4 linked regions of the Saccharomyces cerevisiae S288C genome follow. The protein of the gene in region 1 purifies or fractionates together with the protein of each later gene. This does not show direct contact. Each region holds a gene or a part of one and is shown in the gene's direction. Other genes may lie near its edges. The genes, in order: RPF1, NOG1, HAS1 and NOP7.

What was found.
Region 2: the proteins of RPF1 (region 1) and NOG1 purify together in Saccharomyces cerevisiae (affinity purification with mass spectrometry; 5 studies listed by BioGRID, with this or other methods). This does not show direct contact.
Region 3: the proteins of RPF1 (region 1) and HAS1 purify together in Saccharomyces cerevisiae (affinity purification with mass spectrometry; 6 studies listed by BioGRID, with this or other methods). This does not show direct contact.
Region 4: the proteins of RPF1 (region 1) and NOP7 purify together in Saccharomyces cerevisiae (affinity purification with mass spectrometry; 6 studies listed by BioGRID, with this or other methods). This does not show direct contact.

Annotation. Positions count from the first base shown.
Region 1 is NC_001140.6:279,380-283,501, forward strand, and holds RPF1 (rRNA-binding ribosome biosynthesis protein RPF1), read left to right. Parts: upstream 1-2,115; coding exon 2,116-3,003; downstream 3,004-4,122. Other genes in the region: NAM8 (Nam8p), read left to right, coding at 1-345; YHR086W-A (uncharacterized protein), read left to right, coding at 852-1,013; RTC3 (Rtc3p), read left to right, coding at 1,441-1,776; H/ACA snoRNP pseudouridylase subunit GAR1, read right to left, coding at 3,302-3,919. UniProt on the Saccharomyces cerevisiae protein: Essential protein. Required for biogenesis of the 60S ribosomal subunit.
Region 2 is NC_001148.4:368,433-373,725, forward strand, and holds NOG1 (putative GTPase NOG1), read left to right. Parts: upstream 1-2,545; coding exon 2,546-4,489; downstream 4,490-5,293. Other genes in the region: EEB1 (medium-chain fatty acid ethyl ester synthase/esterase), read right to left, coding at 1-1,009; Sec63 complex subunit SEC62, read right to left, coding at 1,407-2,231. UniProt on the Saccharomyces cerevisiae protein: Involved in the biogenesis of the 60S ribosomal subunit.
Region 3 is NC_001145.3:849,179-853,594, reverse strand, and holds HAS1 (ATP-dependent RNA helicase HAS1), read left to right. Parts: upstream 1-2,003; coding exon 2,004-3,521; downstream 3,522-4,416. Other genes in the region: protein kinase TDA1, read right to left, coding at 1-965; aminodeoxychorismate lyase ABZ2, read right to left, coding at 3,786-4,416. UniProt on the Saccharomyces cerevisiae protein: ATP-dependent RNA helicase involved in 40S ribosomal subunit biogenesis. Required for the processing and cleavage of 35S pre-rRNA at sites A0, A1, and A2, leading to mature 18S rRNA.
Region 4 is NC_001139.9:692,848-697,734, forward strand, and holds NOP7 (mRNA-binding ribosome synthesis protein NOP7), read left to right. Parts: upstream 1-2,569; coding exon 2,570-4,387; downstream 4,388-4,887. Other genes in the region: GTPase-activating protein MDR1, read left to right, coding at 1-250; rhomboid protease PCP1, read left to right, coding at 516-1,556; GTF1 (glutamyl-tRNA(Gln) amidotransferase subunit F), read right to left, coding at 1,737-2,288; SRB5 (Srb5p), read right to left, coding at 4,598-4,887. UniProt on the Saccharomyces cerevisiae protein: Component of the NOP7 complex, which is required for maturation of the 25S and 5.8S ribosomal RNAs and formation of the 60S ribosome.

The DNA of each region.
Region 1 (4,122 bases):
TTACAGCAACCTAACTACGGATACATTCCATCCAGTACGTGTGAAGCACCTGTTCTGCCAGATAATAATGTTTCATCCACGATGCTTCCTGGATGTCAAATTCTGAATTATTCTAATCCATACGCTAATGCGAATGGATTAGGCTCGAACAATTTCAGTTTCTACAGTAATAATAATGCTACAAATACGCAAGCTACTAGTTTACTGGCTGACACTAGCTCTATGGACCTCTCAGGCACGGGTGGCCAACAAGTTATCATGCAAGGAAGCGAAGCGGTTGTTAACAGCACTAATGCAATGTTAAACCGTTTGGAACAAGGCAGTAATGGTTTTATGTTTGCTTGAGCCACACGTGTATATAAAAATGTTTGTTTTCCTTTTGGCCCTTTTTCTTTCTTGGTATTTTCTTTACTTCAGTGTTAAATTGTATTTGGTCTTAGGCTGACGGTGATATAACAGCGCTTTATTTTCTTTTTTTCATTGCTTTTTATCGTTTTCAAGATTCCATGTCCTTTTATTAAGTCTTTTTTGTATCGTTATAGTTGCGTTTTTCCTTTTGATTTTCATTTCTTTCAAGGTTATTGTTATTCTTAATTCAATTCAAGATTGTACGCTTTTAAGCATGTTTATGATTTTCCTTTATTACTTCCATTTACCTTCTTTCCATCACTACTCATTACGGCCTGTCAATTCCTTTTTTGCGTCACCTTCATTTTTTCTTCTCTGTTCTTTTCTGTATTTGTCGAAAATTTTATATTGATGTATCTTAATTTTATTTTTAGTATTATTATACTGTAAATGTTTCTTACTGTGTCAAGATTTCCCGTTGCGCTATCTTCCAAGACTACGTAATGCGTTTGTCTCTCTATTCATGTTGTCTCTGTATAGGGGCACGGCGAATTCCTACTCCGTGTCTCTTCTCCTATATCTTTACACCAAATTTGGCCCATTTTCATTCCCCTTTACGTAGTAGCGGTTTTCGGCCTGCCGGTGCTACGCGTTTCTATAGCTAGTTTCGTTTTCTCACAAATAAATCCTAGCAGGAGGAAAAGAAAGCGCAGGTTGAAACTCCGTTCAGAAGAAGAAAGCCACTCTTTGAAAATACTGCCCACGCAATTGTCCCTTTCTGACAATAAGACCCCTTACTACTAGTAAATGTTTTTATTCTCTAAGCTTCTTTTCCTCTAACTTCGACGCTAGAGCAGGCACTACCCTGTTGGGCCGTACGTAACAACAACGACCCCTTATTTAGTCGAAGGGATCGCCAGAAACAGGGAGCAAAAGATATTTAAGTGATGAGAATCAATTTCGATGATGATCACAAGCCAATGTTCTTTAAACTCAATTCTTGACTAATAAAAAAGCAGCTATCAACAAATTCATACTTTGAACAAGCTGATAAAAATAAGAAAACCATCGCATACACAAAATAAAATCAACATGTCTACTGTAACCAAATACTTTTACAAGGGTGAAAATACAGATTTGATTGTCTTCGCTGCATCCGAAGAGCTTGTAGACGAATATTTGAAAAATCCATCAATTGGTAAGCTATCTGAAGTTGTCGAACTCTTCGAAGTTTTCACTCCTCAGGACGGTAGGGGTGCCGAGGGTGAGTTGGGCGCTGCCTCCAAGGCCCAAGTGGAAAATGAGTTCGGTAAGGGCAAGAAGATCGAAGAAGTTATCGATTTGATATTGAGAAATGGTAAGCCAAACTCTACCACCTCTAGTCTCAAAACCAAAGGGGGTAACGCCGGAACCAAAGCCTACAATTGAGTAGCTTTTCCTTCTGTCTGGACAGCCTGCATTGAAATATGCAATAAGTTAAATTGGCGTGCTGCCCTGTCATAACGCATGCATTCTTCTTTTACAGTAGTAGAAAGAACAAAAAGGTGTATATTTCAATATACATATTTACGATCTATATAACGTTGTATACATTTAATTCAGTGCATTTTTCATTTTCGCGTTCGTCACACATGATTATTTATACAAAGGAAAAGTAAAATTTTTAGCGATGAGATGTAAAAAGAAATGCGATGCCATAAGCTATACTTTACGATTGAACACCTAAGGAAGAGGTAAAGCAGGCTTAATATATTGAAATACTAAAAAATGGCTCTCGGTAATGAGATAAACATCACAAACAAGCTAAAGAGGCAAGAAATTTTTGCTGATATAAAACATGAAAAAAATAAAGAGCGCCATACCATGAGAAGAAAGAGAGCTAAGGAAGAGAGAGAGAATCCGGAGCTGCGGGAGCAGAGATTAAAAGAGAACGTAACACAGACGATAGAGAACACTAGAGTGTACGATGAGACCATTAACAAGGAAGTGGAGGGAGATGAAGACGATTTGATGAGATACTTCAACAGCAATTCTAATGAGCCACCAAAGATCTTTCTGACCACAAATGTAAACGCTAAGAAGAGCGCTTATGAATTTGCTAACATTTTAATCGAAATTTTACCAAACGTCACATTTGTGAAAAGAAAATTTGGCTACAAATTGAAGGAAATATCTGATATTTGTATAAAAAGGAATTTCACTGACATCGTGATAATCAACGAGGACAAGAAAAAGGTTACTGGCCTAACATTCATACATCTGCCAGAGGGCCCAACTTTTTATTTTAAATTATCATCATTTGTTGAAGTGAAGAAAATTGTCGGTCATGGTAGACCAACTAGCCATATTCCAGAATTGATTCTAAATAATTTCCAGACCAGATTGGGTCAAACAGTAGGTAGGTTGTTTCAGTCCATTTTACCTCAGAATCCTGATATTGAAGGTCGACAAGTTATCACCCTACATAATCAAAGAGATTACATTTTCTTCAGAAGGCATCGGTATGTCTTCAAAGATAATGAAAGGGTTGGTTTGCAAGAACTGGGTCCACAATTTACCCTCAAGTTGAAAAGATTGCAAAGGGGTATTAAGGAAGAAACTGAATGGGAGCATAAACCTGAGATGGACAAAGAAAAGAAAAAGTTTTATTTATAGTGTTCCATTCGTAAACTTTGTATGGATATAATATTAAGACAACCGTAAGAACCGTGGTCGTTTGTTTAACTACGGCGGCTTCTGGTATTACTGAATTTCTCTTTTTTTCATTTTAAATCAATTTATTACAGGTAAATCAATCAAACAAATATATATATATATAGTATACAGAACAAACGGTAATTTCTTTTTTTTTTTTTCGACGTTAGACGTGCTTCGGCAGATATAGTAAGTTGGAAGAAATGAAGAATTGTGAAAGATAAAGGATGGTTTTTTTTTTTATTTTTTTCTAGCTAGATTATCTTCTACCTCCTCTGAAACCACCACGAGATCCGCCACGAGATCCTCCTCTAAATGATCCGCCACGAGATCCACCTCTGAAAGAACTGCCACCACGGCCTCCTCTGAAAGAACTACCACCACGGCCTCCTCTGAAACCTCCTCTGCTACCACCGCGACCCATTGAAGCACCACCACGGCCACCTGGGGCACCACTTCTCTTCTTCTTGTTTTTTGGTTTTGGTGGGCCTACCACCTTAGGCTTAGGTAAAAATCTTTCAATAGGCAATAGTTTGTCAGCGGCAATGTAGAATTTATCACCTTCTTTAAAACTGGTTGCTTGGACACCGTCACCACACTTGATAGTGAAAAATACTTCGTTTAATGGACCCAATATTTCGTCAACTTTACCGACTTGAGTCTTGTTTTCCAAATATATTGGCGCATTGAAATATGGAATCTTAGTGTTGATAGAACGGCAAACAATATCACCCTCACATGGATGTAGAAAAGCTCCCATTTCTAGAACAGTGTCTGGTGGTCCTTGTTGAAATGATCTAGCACTGCCTGTACGTCCACCACGAAAGCCGCCACGGAAGCCGCCACGGCCACCTCTATTACCTCCTCTGAAACTCATTATTTTCTTTTGGTTAAAAATTATCCTCAGGTGATCTTTTGGTAGAAGAGAGCAATCAGATACTCTATCGAAAAGGTGCTCACGTTATAAGGCTAACAAATTAATTTTTTCTTCCTTTCCTCATCTCGAAAAATTTTTCACTACAAAAAATTCCGACGTCAAAGTTTGAAAAAAAGACCATCTGATCACGTGACACCTTTTTC
Region 2 (5,293 bases), on another chromosome or scaffold:
AGACTGGTTTCTCAACTGTCGGTTTGTGCGAAACCTCAAAATTCTCTGGTACCTGCAACTCATTCATATTAACCTTGACAGTCCTTGTTAGAAATTGTGTTAAAGTTCTAGAAAAAATATGGTTGGACCACCAATCATGAGCCAACTTGTCCCAAGTGTGTACGAAATCCCATGGGTTTGAGAGAGCGACTGCAGCATTTAATGGACAGTTATCTCCTTCTTCACCTAAGTAGTTCGTTAGCATGGCTGCTCCAAATGATGTTCCGACTGCATATATTTTTCTTTGCGGAAATAGAGCTTTTTGGTGGTTCAAAAATTCTCTCACATCACCTGTGTGTAATGCGGTAAAGATTCTACGGGTGGTGACTTTAGATCTTGAGCAACCTCTAGCATTAAGGACTACCACTTGGAATTTACCGTCACCGACTTTTGATAGATCTTCAGATAATGCCCTGATGAGAGGCTCATGGCTTCCCCCTGCAAGACCATGAAGTACTACCACTAAAGGGTAAGAATAACCCTTAGAATGACATTTTTCAAGTTCCTCAGAGGATAGATATCTAGTTCTCGGGTGAAGACGAGGCCAACCCTTTGGATGGGTGGCCTTTTCATCGTTCGAAAATTGTTTCTCGTTAAAACTAGCCTTTTCAGCATTTAATGAATATGTTTGCTCCCATTCAGGCATAACCCAATCTGCAGTGCAGACCCCTCCATCAGAAAATTTTATAATCTCTCTTCCATAAAATACCTGAAATTTTTTGGAAAAATCACCGGCTGACAAATAAAGGGTCTGTAAGTAACCTGTGAAAAGCAAGCTGTTTAACCTAAAATTTGCACCATCTTTGAGTGTAGGCACGTGTTTGGTTACGAATTCATGAAGAGGAATTTGGCGCTTAGAATCTCTGAAAGCCAAAGACTTGGTTCCTTTCTCTCCCAGTACATGTTTGACGGTGCCGTTATAGCCCCAATGGCTAGGAGTGACAGTTGGATAGTAACCCGAGCGAAACATTAAAATGACAAATATGAAAATACTTGATATCTTGATCTTTTTGCTAATCTTCAAAAATACCGAAAACTAAGTAGGCAACCAGATGCAGAACCCTTCTTATATAATCGATTCCTGTAAGCAAGTGTCAGCAAATAGCTTCTATATAGAGACCTTTCGGTGAAAGTATATTAAAGCCGGCCGGAAATTGAGTAATAATAACCGCTAATTATGCGGTGTGTGGATTCAGATTTTTGCCAGGAGCGATAACCTTCAAATCTAAAACTACTCACTATAAGCGATGAAGCAACCAGATGGTAGCGCTTTGGTGCCGGTTCTCTTGAAGGTTTGTACATGTGCGAGTTCATGAGGTTACAATATAGAAGGTTTATACAGTAGAGCTATACAGGATAATGGAAGTTCAGTTTTGTTCGGCTTTTTCATTGATGGCTTTCTTCTTATTGCTTTCTCTCTTGGCTTGTTTCTTCTTCATTCTTTTCAGTTTCTTTTTGTAACTATAAGTATCCTTCTCACCAAAACCGTAAAGTGGCTTAAAACTCTCTAGTACACCGCAATCTTCGAACAGGTTGGGAAAGATCCAGAACCCACCAACATCTTTGTAGACAATTAATGACAAAACATATAATATCAATCTCAGGATAGCGACAGCAAAGAAGCCTGCTAAGATGCCGAAGGCACCCAGAGACACATAATAGGAGCCGCGTCTCATGGAGCGCGGCCACAATGGGTAGCATACGAGCGCCAATATGATGGACACGACACCAATGACGATCAAGTAATCCATGTAGGTTCTAGGGTTATAGTTCCAAACAAAGTATTCATCGGCTTCCAATTGTGCTTTATTCGAAACAATCAAGTGCGGAAAGTCCTTGCTTGGCTTCAATCCATGCTCTTTGCATTCTTGACTATGCAATTTTTTCACTGGGATCACCATTTGTGCCTTTATAAGTTGAATAAAGATTTCACGTGACTTAAGCTGGTCTTCGATCTTGTTAGAAGGTATAGTTGGATATATCTCTGGCTGTCTTGCAGATTTGTTGGCATACTCCTCAGAATGCAGTGCCCTAACAAATCTCTTGTAACGGAAGAAGTCTGTCTGCTTGGCCTGGAATAAACCCTGCCTTTGCTTCAACTCCTTATGGTTGCGTAAAAGAGTAGCAATGGCTGTAGCAGATCCGCCATTGACACTAGCACCTGCATTGCTACCTGGACCTACGGCTGACATGTTCTCCTGTGTTTGCTCGGCTACCATACTGCATTCAACTGCAATTATAAAAGCCCACTCTTCTCCCTCTTGATTTGTATGCCAGTATTGGGAAAACGACACGTCTATTCCGTCGCACACGATCTTCACTTTCTTTTTTTTTTTCAACTGAACGAAAAGTTTTTTCCGCAGCTCATCGCAAAGAAAAATTTTCACCTATGTACTACCTCATCTAATACAATATAAAGAATACACTTCAGATTTAGGAGTTGCAGCGTTTATAAAAAAGTAAGTGTACCCTCCAAAAGCAAACACATCTCCCTCCTATACCGAAGATGCAACTTTCATGGAAGGATATCCCTACTGTCGCTCCAGCAAATGATTTGCTGGATATTGTCTTGAACAGAACCCAGAGAAAGACACCAACTGTGATCAGACCTGGTTTCAAGATTACAAGAATCAGAGCGTTCTATATGCGTAAAGTTAAATACACAGGTGAAGGTTTCGTGGAAAAATTTGAGGACATTTTAAAGGGTTTTCCTAACATCAATGACGTGCATCCTTTCCATAGAGATTTGATGGACACCCTATACGAAAAGAATCATTACAAGATATCTTTGGCAGCTATATCTCGTGCGAAGTCCCTTGTGGAACAAGTCGCCAGAGATTATGTCAGATTGCTAAAATTCGGTCAATCTTTATTTCAATGTAAACAATTGAAAAGGGCCGCTTTAGGTAGAATGGCAACTATAGTCAAGAAATTGAGGGACCCATTGGCCTATTTGGAACAAGTCAGACAGCACATTGGTAGATTACCATCGATCGACCCAAATACCAGAACCTTGCTGATCTGTGGTTATCCAAATGTCGGTAAGTCCTCGTTTTTGAGATGCATTACCAAATCAGACGTCGATGTTCAACCATATGCTTTCACAACCAAGAGTTTATACGTTGGTCATTTTGACTACAAATACTTGAGATTTCAAGCTATTGACACCCCTGGTATCCTAGATAGACCCACTGAAGAAATGAACAACATTGAAATGCAATCGATTTATGCCATTGCCCATTTACGTTCTTGTGTTTTGTACTTCATGGATCTTTCCGAACAATGTGGTTTCACCATCGAAGCTCAAGTTAAACTATTCCACTCCATCAAGCCTCTATTCGCCAACAAGTCTGTCATGGTTGTTATCAACAAAACCGACATTATCAGACCGGAGGATTTAGACGAAGAGCGTGCACAATTACTGGAATCTGTTAAGGAGGTTCCAGGTGTTGAAATCATGACTTCTTCATGCCAACTGGAAGAAAACGTTATGGAAGTTAGAAACAAAGCATGTGAAAAACTATTGGCTTCTAGAATTGAGAATAAGTTGAAATCTCAGTCTAGAATCAACAATGTTCTGAACAAGATTCATGTTGCTCAACCTCAAGCAAGAGATGATGTCAAGAGAACACCATTTATCCCAGAATCTGTCAAGAATTTGAAGAAATACGACCCTGAAGATCCAAACAGGAGAAAGTTGGCCAGAGACATCGAAGCTGAAAATGGTGGTGCTGGTGTCTTCAATGTTAACTTGAAGGACAAGTACCTATTAGAAGATGATGAGTGGAAGAATGACATCATGCCAGAAATCTTGGATGGTAAGAATGTTTATGATTTCTTGGACCCTGAAATCGCTGCTAAACTGCAGGCTCTTGAAGAAGAAGAAGAAAAATTGGAGAACGAAGGGTTCTACAATTCTGACGATGAGGAAGAAATCTACGACGGTTTCGAAGCATCCGAAGTAGATGATATCAAGGAGAAAGCTGCATGGATTAGAAATAGACAAAAGACGATGATTGCTGAAGCAAGAAATAGGAAGTCCTTGAAGAACAAAGCTATCATGCCACGTTCTAAACTAACTAAGTCCTTTGGTAAAATGGAAGAACACATGTCCACTTTGGGCCATGACATGTCAGCCTTACAAGATAAACAGAACCGTGCTGCTCGTAAGAACCGTTATGTTGAAAGAGGTTCTGATGTTGTTTTTGGCGACCAAGATGCTTTGACAGCTTCCACTGAAAACGGTGTCAAGTTGAGACAAACCGATAGACTGTTGGATGGTGTTGCTGATGGCTCCATGAGATCCAAGGCCGACAGGATGGCCAAGATGGAAAGAAGAGAAAGAAATAGACATGCCAAGCAAGGTGAATCTGATAGACACAATGCTGTTTCCTTATCAAAGCATTTATTCAGTGGTAAGCGTGGTGTCGGTAAGACAGATTTCCGTTGATTTCTCTACTTCTTATTCTTTCTTTTGCATGTACTTTAAAAAAAATATGAATATAAAATGTGGATGTACGTACACGACATTCTAATCTTTTTGGGCTGGTAGGATTACCATTTACATTTGATTATCTCTCTCACTATTAGTGGTTTCTTTTTCTTTCTTTCTCACTTTTTCTGTATCTTTTTTTTAAAAAAATTTTATTTAATCTGTATAATAATAATAAACCGATTTAAATTATCCAACAAGCCGACCCCTCCATGTTCTACTATTTTTTTGTATGTCACTGGATGTATACAAATAATTAAGCATGTGGAAAAAGAAGGGGTGGGATAGCGTCAAGATGACACTTCTACTTTTTTGTGACACATCATCATGCAACCTATCGAGTCTCCCACGAGGTTGACAAATAAGAAATTGTTATCGTTTTTGCAGTGTATCGTATAAGGCAACAATAGCGATGTCTCCCATCAATTGACTGATAAATTCCTGCAAACTATCATTTTTTTTTTTTCATCCTTGTGCCGCGTCTGTAGCCGAAAATCTGAGAGTGCATGAATCTTAAAAAACAGAAGACTCATCGCCGTCTTTGGCACATTGGGGTTGTCTTTGACTTCTTTTGCTTATTTTTGCTCACTTTGCTTATTTTACCTATTTAACTAGAGGTTCTAAAAGAATAGCCAACCAGCGTGTAGTTCTTATTTCTAATCCTTGTCTTGTTAAGTTGAAACTTGTGATATTGGCTGAACAAATTCTCCGCATTTAGACAACACACAAATTACAGCTTTCCCCTAGTAACGATTGTTGATT
Region 3 (4,416 bases), on another chromosome or scaffold:
TCGTATTTAGGGTCGTGCATCATTTGTTCGTCGACGTAATAGTCACATTTTGAAATACATTCCAGAGTTTCGTCGTCTGTGGTACAGTCAAAGGGCGTATAGCCGAAGGCCATGAAATATGTCAGTACACCAAGGGCCCATATATCCACCGGACAACCATACTTGTCTAGTTTGCCAACTTGATCAGGAGTCATTTCACCGACACCTTTGCACTTGACGATTTCTGGAGCAATATACGAGATGGTTCCAACAAACTCCTTTAACGAGTTTACCTTACTTGTGTTATATTCAGCAGCAAGACCAAAATCGGCGAGAACTAGGTCGTGTGCCAAGAGATCGTATTTGAAATCTCCGTGGTGTTCACCCTGTAGGTTTTTTTCGTTTTCGTTCACTCTCAATCTGAATAAGACGTTTTCTGCTTTCAAGTCTCTATGAACAATACCTTGAGAATGCAAAAACTCGAGAACGCTCACCAAACAGGCGCAGTACGAGGTAACTTGAGTTTCGAGGTCTAAACACTGATTTTCAACAATTTTTTCATACAAATCTCCCTTCTGACACAGCTGAGTGATCAGGACAATGTTATCTGCCGTCTCAAAATAGTCGAAAAGTTGTAAAATATGGTGATGCCCCTCAAAAATGTCCAAAGAATGTTCATTCTTTTTTTCCATATCTCTGATTTTCTCGCTTATTGACCTCAAAAGGTCGAACTCTCTTTGAATAAGTTGAATTTTGTTCTTGACAGTTTGTTTCTTAATAAGCTTCATCGCGTACAAATCCTTTGTGTGTATATTCATACATTCTTTCACGACGCTAAAATTCCCATCGCCCAAGGAGTTGTGGTTGGTTACGTATTTACATTTGAAGGTTTGAGCGTCTGCATTGCTGCCACTCAGTTGCGGCCAAGGTTTTTCTTCCGGCAGGCGCTGTTGTAGCTGGGAAGCAGAAGAACTAGCTGTAGTCATATCCTGGATGTGTATTTTTCTTTTTGAACTGTTGTAATGTCAATTGTATGAAAATATCGCGGTTTGGCTGAGACAGTCGTGGTAGGTAACTGAAGGAGCAAACAAGAAATTAATAAATAAACAAGTTAGCAAAACAAATAAAAAAACTGTCACTCTAAATAGAAAGAAGTAAAGAAGCAGAAGAAGTCATCCCCGTTCGACACGTTTTCATATTCTGAGTACATGATAAACCCCGCCCTCTTTTTCTTTTTTTAGGAATCCCCCTTTCTATTGTCAGAACAAGAAAGCGGTGTTGGAATTCAAGCAGCTTTTTTTTTTTCTTTTCGTCATACAGTTTCTTTTTCAGGAGTCTTGGTAGCACCCCACCCGTGGAATCGGCGGAATAACCTAACACGTGGAGGTTTTTCCGAGGTGCCAAAAAAGGAAAAACAAAGAGAAGCTGAAATCGGAATTTGAAGAATAGCGTGGGGGGGAGGGGGTTATTCAAGGAGCGCCTGTACCGGCAACGATAGCTTCGGCGGCTAAGATGGCAAACCTAATAGATGTATGTAAAAACATGGATGATAGCAGGCGGTGAACAGCCATGGTAATTTTAGGGAGTGCAAAAGTTATATGTAAGGCTATATCTGTATCAGTTAACAGGGGTGGAAAATGATTTGATAGGCGCAATATGTTTATTGGTAAAAGAGCATCTTAAACCACTTCATTCCATTTCTCACTATCACAAGTGATATATTATGTGTATTTTGCAATCCATGACGCTTTAATGCTTTACAAAGCGCTGCTACTTCTATTTTCTTAACGTAAAGAGGAGTGTATGACGACTAAGAATTGTTTACCCGGCGAGAGTCGATTCTTCGTTACCCGAATTGAAAATTTTTTATTTGCTTTTTCTTTTTTTTTTTTTTTTTTTTTTCAATATTAGCTTTAGCGATGAGATGAGATTTTATAGTGTATACACGGTACTTGAGTACATAGCTATTGGATAACTGTATACTATAATAATTAGATAAGCTGAGCAATATTAACAGGAGAAGTATGGCTACCCCGTCAAATAAACGTTCTAGAGATTCTGAATCTACAGAAGAACCTGTAGTAGATGAAAAGAGCACTTCAAAACAAAACAATGCCGCACCTGAGGGAGAACAAACTACTTGTGTGGAAAAGTTCGAAGAACTAAAGTTATCACAGCCAACTTTAAAGGCCATTGAAAAGATGGGATTTACCACTATGACTTCTGTTCAGGCAAGGACTATCCCACCTCTTTTGGCCGGTAGGGATGTTCTTGGTGCTGCCAAGACAGGTTCTGGTAAAACTCTAGCGTTTCTCATCCCTGCTATTGAACTATTGCATTCTTTGAAATTCAAACCAAGAAATGGTACCGGTATAATTGTCATTACGCCTACAAGAGAGTTGGCTTTACAGATTTTTGGAGTGGCAAGAGAGTTAATGGAATTCCATTCACAGACATTTGGTATTGTCATTGGTGGTGCAAATAGAAGACAGGAAGCCGAAAAATTGATGAAAGGTGTTAACATGTTGATTGCTACCCCTGGAAGATTATTGGATCACTTACAAAATACAAAAGGATTTGTATTCAAGAACTTGAAGGCTTTGATTATCGATGAAGCGGACAGAATCTTAGAAATTGGGTTTGAAGATGAAATGAGGCAGATAATTAAGATCTTGCCAAACGAAGATAGGCAATCCATGTTATTTTCAGCTACACAAACGACCAAAGTTGAGGATTTGGCTAGAATCTCGCTGAGACCGGGCCCTCTTTTCATTAATGTCGTTCCTGAAACCGACAACTCCACCGCAGATGGATTAGAACAAGGCTATGTGGTATGTGACAGTGATAAGAGATTTTTGTTGTTATTTTCTTTCTTGAAAAGAAATCAAAAAAAGAAAATTATTGTATTTTTATCATCTTGTAACTCTGTGAAATATTACGCTGAATTATTGAACTATATTGATTTGCCAGTCCTCGAATTACACGGTAAGCAAAAACAACAAAAGAGAACAAATACATTTTTCGAATTCTGTAATGCGGAAAGAGGTATCTTGATTTGTACAGATGTCGCAGCTAGAGGGCTAGATATCCCTGCTGTGGACTGGATCATTCAATTCGACCCTCCTGATGATCCAAGAGATTATATTCATAGAGTCGGAAGAACCGCAAGAGGCACTAAAGGTAAGGGTAAATCTTTAATGTTTTTAACACCTAATGAATTAGGGTTTTTAAGATATCTAAAGGCTTCCAAGGTCCCATTAAATGAGTACGAATTCCCGGAAAACAAAATTGCAAACGTTCAATCACAATTAGAAAAATTAATTAAATCCAACTATTATCTACATCAAACAGCCAAGGATGGTTATAGATCTTATTTACAAGCGTACGCTTCCCACTCTTTGAAAACTGTCTATCAAATCGATAAGCTGGATTTAGCCAAAGTAGCAAAGTCTTACGGTTTTCCAGTCCCTCCAAAGGTTAACATTACAATTGGTGCCAGTGGAAAAACGCCAAATACCAAAAGACGTAAAACTCATAAGTAATTTCAGAGGATCAATTTTTAATGCTATTAATGTGTACGTGGAACCAACACAACCGAAGTATTCATCTTCTGTTCTCATCGCACTCCTTTTCCTTTCTCTGCTTCTCCACTGTATGTCATTTAAATAAATGTATAAACCGCTGTTTTCTGTTTGTTGTCTTCTACGTACGTTGTCTGTATCAACCTGCACATATTTGAGTATGTAAAATCATGATTTGTAAACTATTGTAAAAAAACTTCATTGATATGAAAATCTGTCGTCTGCTCAATATTTTGTCTTCACTGTTCCCTTTATGCATCCCATGACGCCATTGAAAAGCAAAACTTCGTTGCCAACGGTAAGGCTTCCTATATCTATATCTCCCTCTTCAATAAGGCCGAGCCGCAATAAATAATGACGCATTGTTCCGCACAAACATCCAGTTGCTAATCTTGGTGTCACATACTTTTTAGAACCGTTAGGATCTTTTTGAATTACAGCCACGTTTGTTATTGAACCTTCCATCAGCAGGCCAGATTTGTTGGAAAATAAAATTTCGCATTGCGAGACAGAAGAAGTAGGTTCTGAACCTCTTAAGTTATTTATAGCAGTTTGCATGCGAACTCTCGCCCTAGCGTAATGATCTCTTGAAGTGGTTTTAAAACTGGTGAAAGCTGATGCGTTCAATGGTTCAGATGAAACAACAACATCCCAATTTATTGTGCTATCAATTAAAAATCCATTGAGCATCGTTTTGATGAAGTATGTGGAAACACTGTCATAATCGGTTGTTAATTTTAGGATAGGCTCCATAGGCATTGGAATTGCCTCAATTCGTATATCTCCTGTCTTAGAGACAAGTACCCGCATTTTATAGCATTGCCTTTCGTTGATCATTTTTTGAATTTTTTCGTGA
Region 4 (4,887 bases), on another chromosome or scaffold:
CATTGCTTCTGTAGAGAGTACGCCAACAGCCGCTGCAAGTTCAATAACTACCAAAGAAGAAAAGTACGATGATCTAGATGATTTCACGTCAGAGCATCAACCCGAGAATGAAGAGTTATTACAAAGTTCCTGGTTTGAGATCGACGATGCCAATGAAACTAGCACTAAAGCCATACAAGAAAGGTCTTTTGAGCCTTTGTCGGCAAATTCCTCGGAAGAGAAGTCCAACCTTATTGAATTTGAAGCATGAAATCGTGCTTATCAATTTTATGTCACCCTAAAACATCTGTACGTGTTTATATAGATATTTAAAGCAATATTTGCCAGGATTTGGTGAAGATCCCTCATATAACTCTCATAAATGCGGATTTTCGGAGCGAAAAAAGCCTAAATTCTTGTCTGGAAGTATAATTGGCGGTGAAATAGAAAAGGTGGCAATCACGACTGAAAAGGGTACAGCTTTCGCAACTGACATATACAGACAGTGAAAAGTAATAAATTGCCCAAGTGTGAACATGTCAGGTGTAAGCTCTGTTATGCTCGGTCTTCGACCTGCTACAAGAATTTTTTTCCGCAGTAATATTTCGGTTTCACCTTCGAGGACTTTTGTATCATATATTGGAAGATCCCAGAGCACGTCGATACTCAAAAATGCTCCCAACTTAGAGGACAATGTCACAAATCTTCAGAAAATTATACCGAAACGGTTCTTTTCTCAAACATCAATTTTGAAATCAAGGTGGAAGCCTATATTCAATGAAGAAACTACTAATCGATACGTACGTTTGAACAGGTTTCAGCAGTACCAGCAGCAGAGAAGCGGCGGCAATCCTCTGGGCTCTATGACTATTTTGGGGCTCTCTTTAATGGCAGGAATATATTTTGGCTCCCCTTATTTGTTCGAGCACGTTCCACCCTTTACGTATTTTAAGACGCATCCAAAGAATCTGGTATACGCGTTATTAGGCATCAATGTTGCCGTATTTGGACTATGGCAGCTACCCAAATGCTGGAGGTTTCTACAGAAGTACATGTTGCTGCAAAAGGATTACGTAACTAGCAAAATTTCGATAATCGGAAGTGCGTTTTCACATCAAGAATTCTGGCACTTAGGTATGAACATGCTAGCGTTGTGGTCCTTTGGTACTTCACTCGCAACAATGTTGGGAGCATCCAATTTTTTCTCCTTATATATGAATAGTGCCATTGCAGGTTCTTTGTTTTCGTTATGGTATCCAAAACTGGCACGCCTAGCCATTGTCGGACCTAGCTTGGGTGCCAGTGGAGCGCTATTTGGGGTTTTAGGATGTTTTTCATATCTATTCCCACACGCTAAAATTTTGCTGTTTGTTTTCCCAGTCCCAGGTGGGGCTTGGGTAGCATTCTTGGCTTCAGTGGCATGGAATGCAGCTGGTTGTGCTTTAAGATGGGGGTCATTTGATTACGCTGCGCATTTAGGTGGCTCTATGATGGGGGTCTTGTACGGATGGTATATAAGTAAAGCTGTAGAGAAACAAAGGCAGCGTCGCCTTCAGGCTGCTGGTAGGTGGTTTTAATCACTTAAAAAAAGACACATTCTCATTCGAAATATTGTAAATACTGCTATGTCTTCTATGTACTTAATCTTATTTATGCATTTGAAAAATATTTCAGCCTTATCGTGGTGGTACATGTACAAGAAAATTCATAGGCAAAAGAATATATAGAATAGAGCGTATGTGTTACTTTTCTAAGTCTTACTTCCTGTTTTTGAGTAGTCCCTCTTTGACAACAAAATATGCATTTTTGGATTCCGCGGCAAGTCCAGTTGCTTTCCAAGATCCGCTAACTTCTCCTAGCTCAGCATCCTGCTTTTGGTGGCTGATGCCTTCAAGTAGCTTTGTGTAGTTCAGCTGTTTCGTATTTCTTTGCACCAACCGAGCATCATATTCCTTGGTGTGCTTTTCACCTTCGACAGGTATGTTATGGAGTTTGTTGATGAATGATAATTGCTTGGCAAGTCGCATTTGAATTTCTTTAATATCTGCTCCTTCCAAGGGAAGACCTGATAACCGCAACAATTTTTTTACAGCTTCAGCAGACGGTGGCTCTAGTTTTTCCTCTTTAGTGTTTATGCCTAAATATTCGTGGACGGACCATACAGGTCTTGATAAATAATCCCTTATTTGATTCATATTTTCAAATTTTTTACCAATCTTTGCCCCTCCCGTAGATACGAACCGATGACTTCCATCATGGCATAACCCACCCACTGTATGTGTTCTGCATAGACGCCATGTTTTGTACATCGTTCTAGCACTATGGGTAAGTGCAAATAGTTCGATCTAAAAGCCTAAATGCTAGTCACTATTACCTCCTTGATGTTATATTTACAGAATAATGTCATGTCGTCTGTGGTGACTATTATTATTGCCTGAAAAAATTAAAGAAAATTTTTTGCGATGAGATGAGATGAGAAAAAATGAAAAATTTTGGAAGGTTAATTAGAGATGTGTAGTAAATCCTGCTGGTGGAATACATTTTATTCCTGTAGAAAATAGTATAGTAACAGCGGTATCCTACTTATACAATGAGAATCAAGAAGAAAAACACCAGAGGTAACGCAAGAAACTTTATTACCAGATCTCAAGCTGTGAGAAAATTACAGGTTTCTCTTGCTGATTTCAGAAGATTATGTATATTCAAAGGTATCTATCCTAGAGAGCCAAGAAATAAAAAGAAGGCAAACAAGGGCTCTACTGCACCAACTACTTTTTACTATGCTAAGGATATTCAATATCTAATGCATGAGCCCGTTTTGGCTAAATTTAGAGAACACAAGACTTTTGCTAGGAAACTAACAAGGGCTTTGGGTAGGGGAGAAGTCTCTTCTGCTAAAAGGTTAGAGGAAAACAGAGATAGTTATACTTTAGACCATATTATCAAGGAGCGTTATCCAAGTTTCCCAGATGCTATAAGGGATATTGATGATGCTTTGAATATGTTATTTCTTTTCTCTAATTTGCCCTCTACCAACCAGGTTTCCTCGAAAATTATCAATGATGCTCAGAAAATCTGTAATCAATGGTTAGCCTATGTTGCCAAGGAACGCTTGGTTCGTAAAGTGTTTGTATCCATTAAAGGTGTTTATTATCAAGCCAATATTAAGGGTGAAGAAGTTAGATGGTTAGTTCCATTCAAGTTTCCAGAAAACATCCCCAGTGACGTTGATTTCAGAATTATGTTGACCTTCTTAGAATTCTACTCGACTCTATTGCATTTCGTCCTATATAAGTTATACACCGATAGTGGGTTGATTTATCCGCCAAAATTGGATCTTAAAAAGGATAAAATCATAAGTGGTTTGTCATCATATATTCTAGAATCCAGACAAGAAGACAGCCTACTAAAACTTGACCCAACTGAGATTGAGGAAGACGTAAAAGTTGAAAGTTTGGACGCATCGACATTAAAGTCTGCCTTGAATGCCGATGAGGCAAATACTGATGAAACAGAAAAGGAGGAAGAACAAGAAAAGAAACAAGAAAAGGAACAAGAAAAGGAACAAAATGAGGAAACGGAACTAGATACTTTCGAGGATAACAATAAGAACAAGGGTGACATCTTAATACAGCCAAGTAAGTACGATTCTCCTGTTGCTTCTTTGTTTTCTGCATTTGTTTTTTACGTTAGCAGAGAAGTTCCGATCGATATTCTTGAGTTCTTGATCTTATCTTGTGGTGGTAATGTCATCAGTGAAGCTGCTATGGACCAAATTGAAAATAAGAAGGATATTGACATGTCCAAGGTCACTCATCAAATTGTTGACAGGCCAGTTTTGAAAAACAAGGTAGCTGGCAGAACGTATATTCAGCCACAGTGGATATTTGATTGTATCAATAAAGGCGAATTGGTACCTGCCAACAAATATCTTCCAGGGGAGGCTCTTCCACCTCACTTAAGCCCATGGGGTGATGCTATTGGTTACGATCCAACTGCTCCTGTCGAAGAAGGCGAAGAAGAAGAAAGTGAAAGTGAAAGTGAAAGTGAAGATCAAGTTGAGGAGGAAGATCAAGAAGTTGTTGCTGGAGAAGAAGATGATGACGATGACGAAGAGCTACAAGCTCAAAAAGAGCTTGAATTGGAAGCACAAGGTATCAAATATTCTGAAACTTCAGAAGCTGATAAGGATGTCAATAAGTCAAAGAACAAAAAGAGAAAGGTGGATGAAGAAGAAGAAGAAAAGAAATTGAAAATGATAATGATGAGTAACAAACAAAAGAAACTTTACAAAAAAATGAAGTATTCTAATGCTAAAAAGGAGGAACAAGCTGAGAACTTAAAAAAGAAAAAGAAGCAAATTGCCAAACAAAAAGCTAAACTGAATAAACTAGATTCCAAGAAATAGTTTTCTCTTCTTTTCCAATAGCCTCTCAAAAATTTTGTCTTTTAATTTAACATCTTTATTACTTTATAATTCCTCGGTATAGCAACATTAGATATATAACTACACATTTTTGTTTGTAGATATAGAAATACCTGTACATTAAAAGTGGTTACTGTTGTTCTGTATAACTATATGAGTGAATTTTGTAAAAATATGCCCAGGTGCCAATGATTATATTAGAATATTTCCATGTGCTACCCTCGAGTCCATTGACTGTCTATCGGGTACACTTAACTCTATATAGCCTTGTAGTTCCTTTTTTAAGTTCATCAAGGCAGTCTCTGTATAGTTTATACGATCGATATCGGTCCCCCTACTAACATTGATGTATGCTTTTAAAAGGAACCCTCCGCTTGTTATTTGTGAATTGCCTGCTTCTTCTATTTGCCAAATTTTTTGTAACTCAAGTATTAAACCATGCTTCATAAAAAATTTCACACCAATTGTAAGATACTGAAATT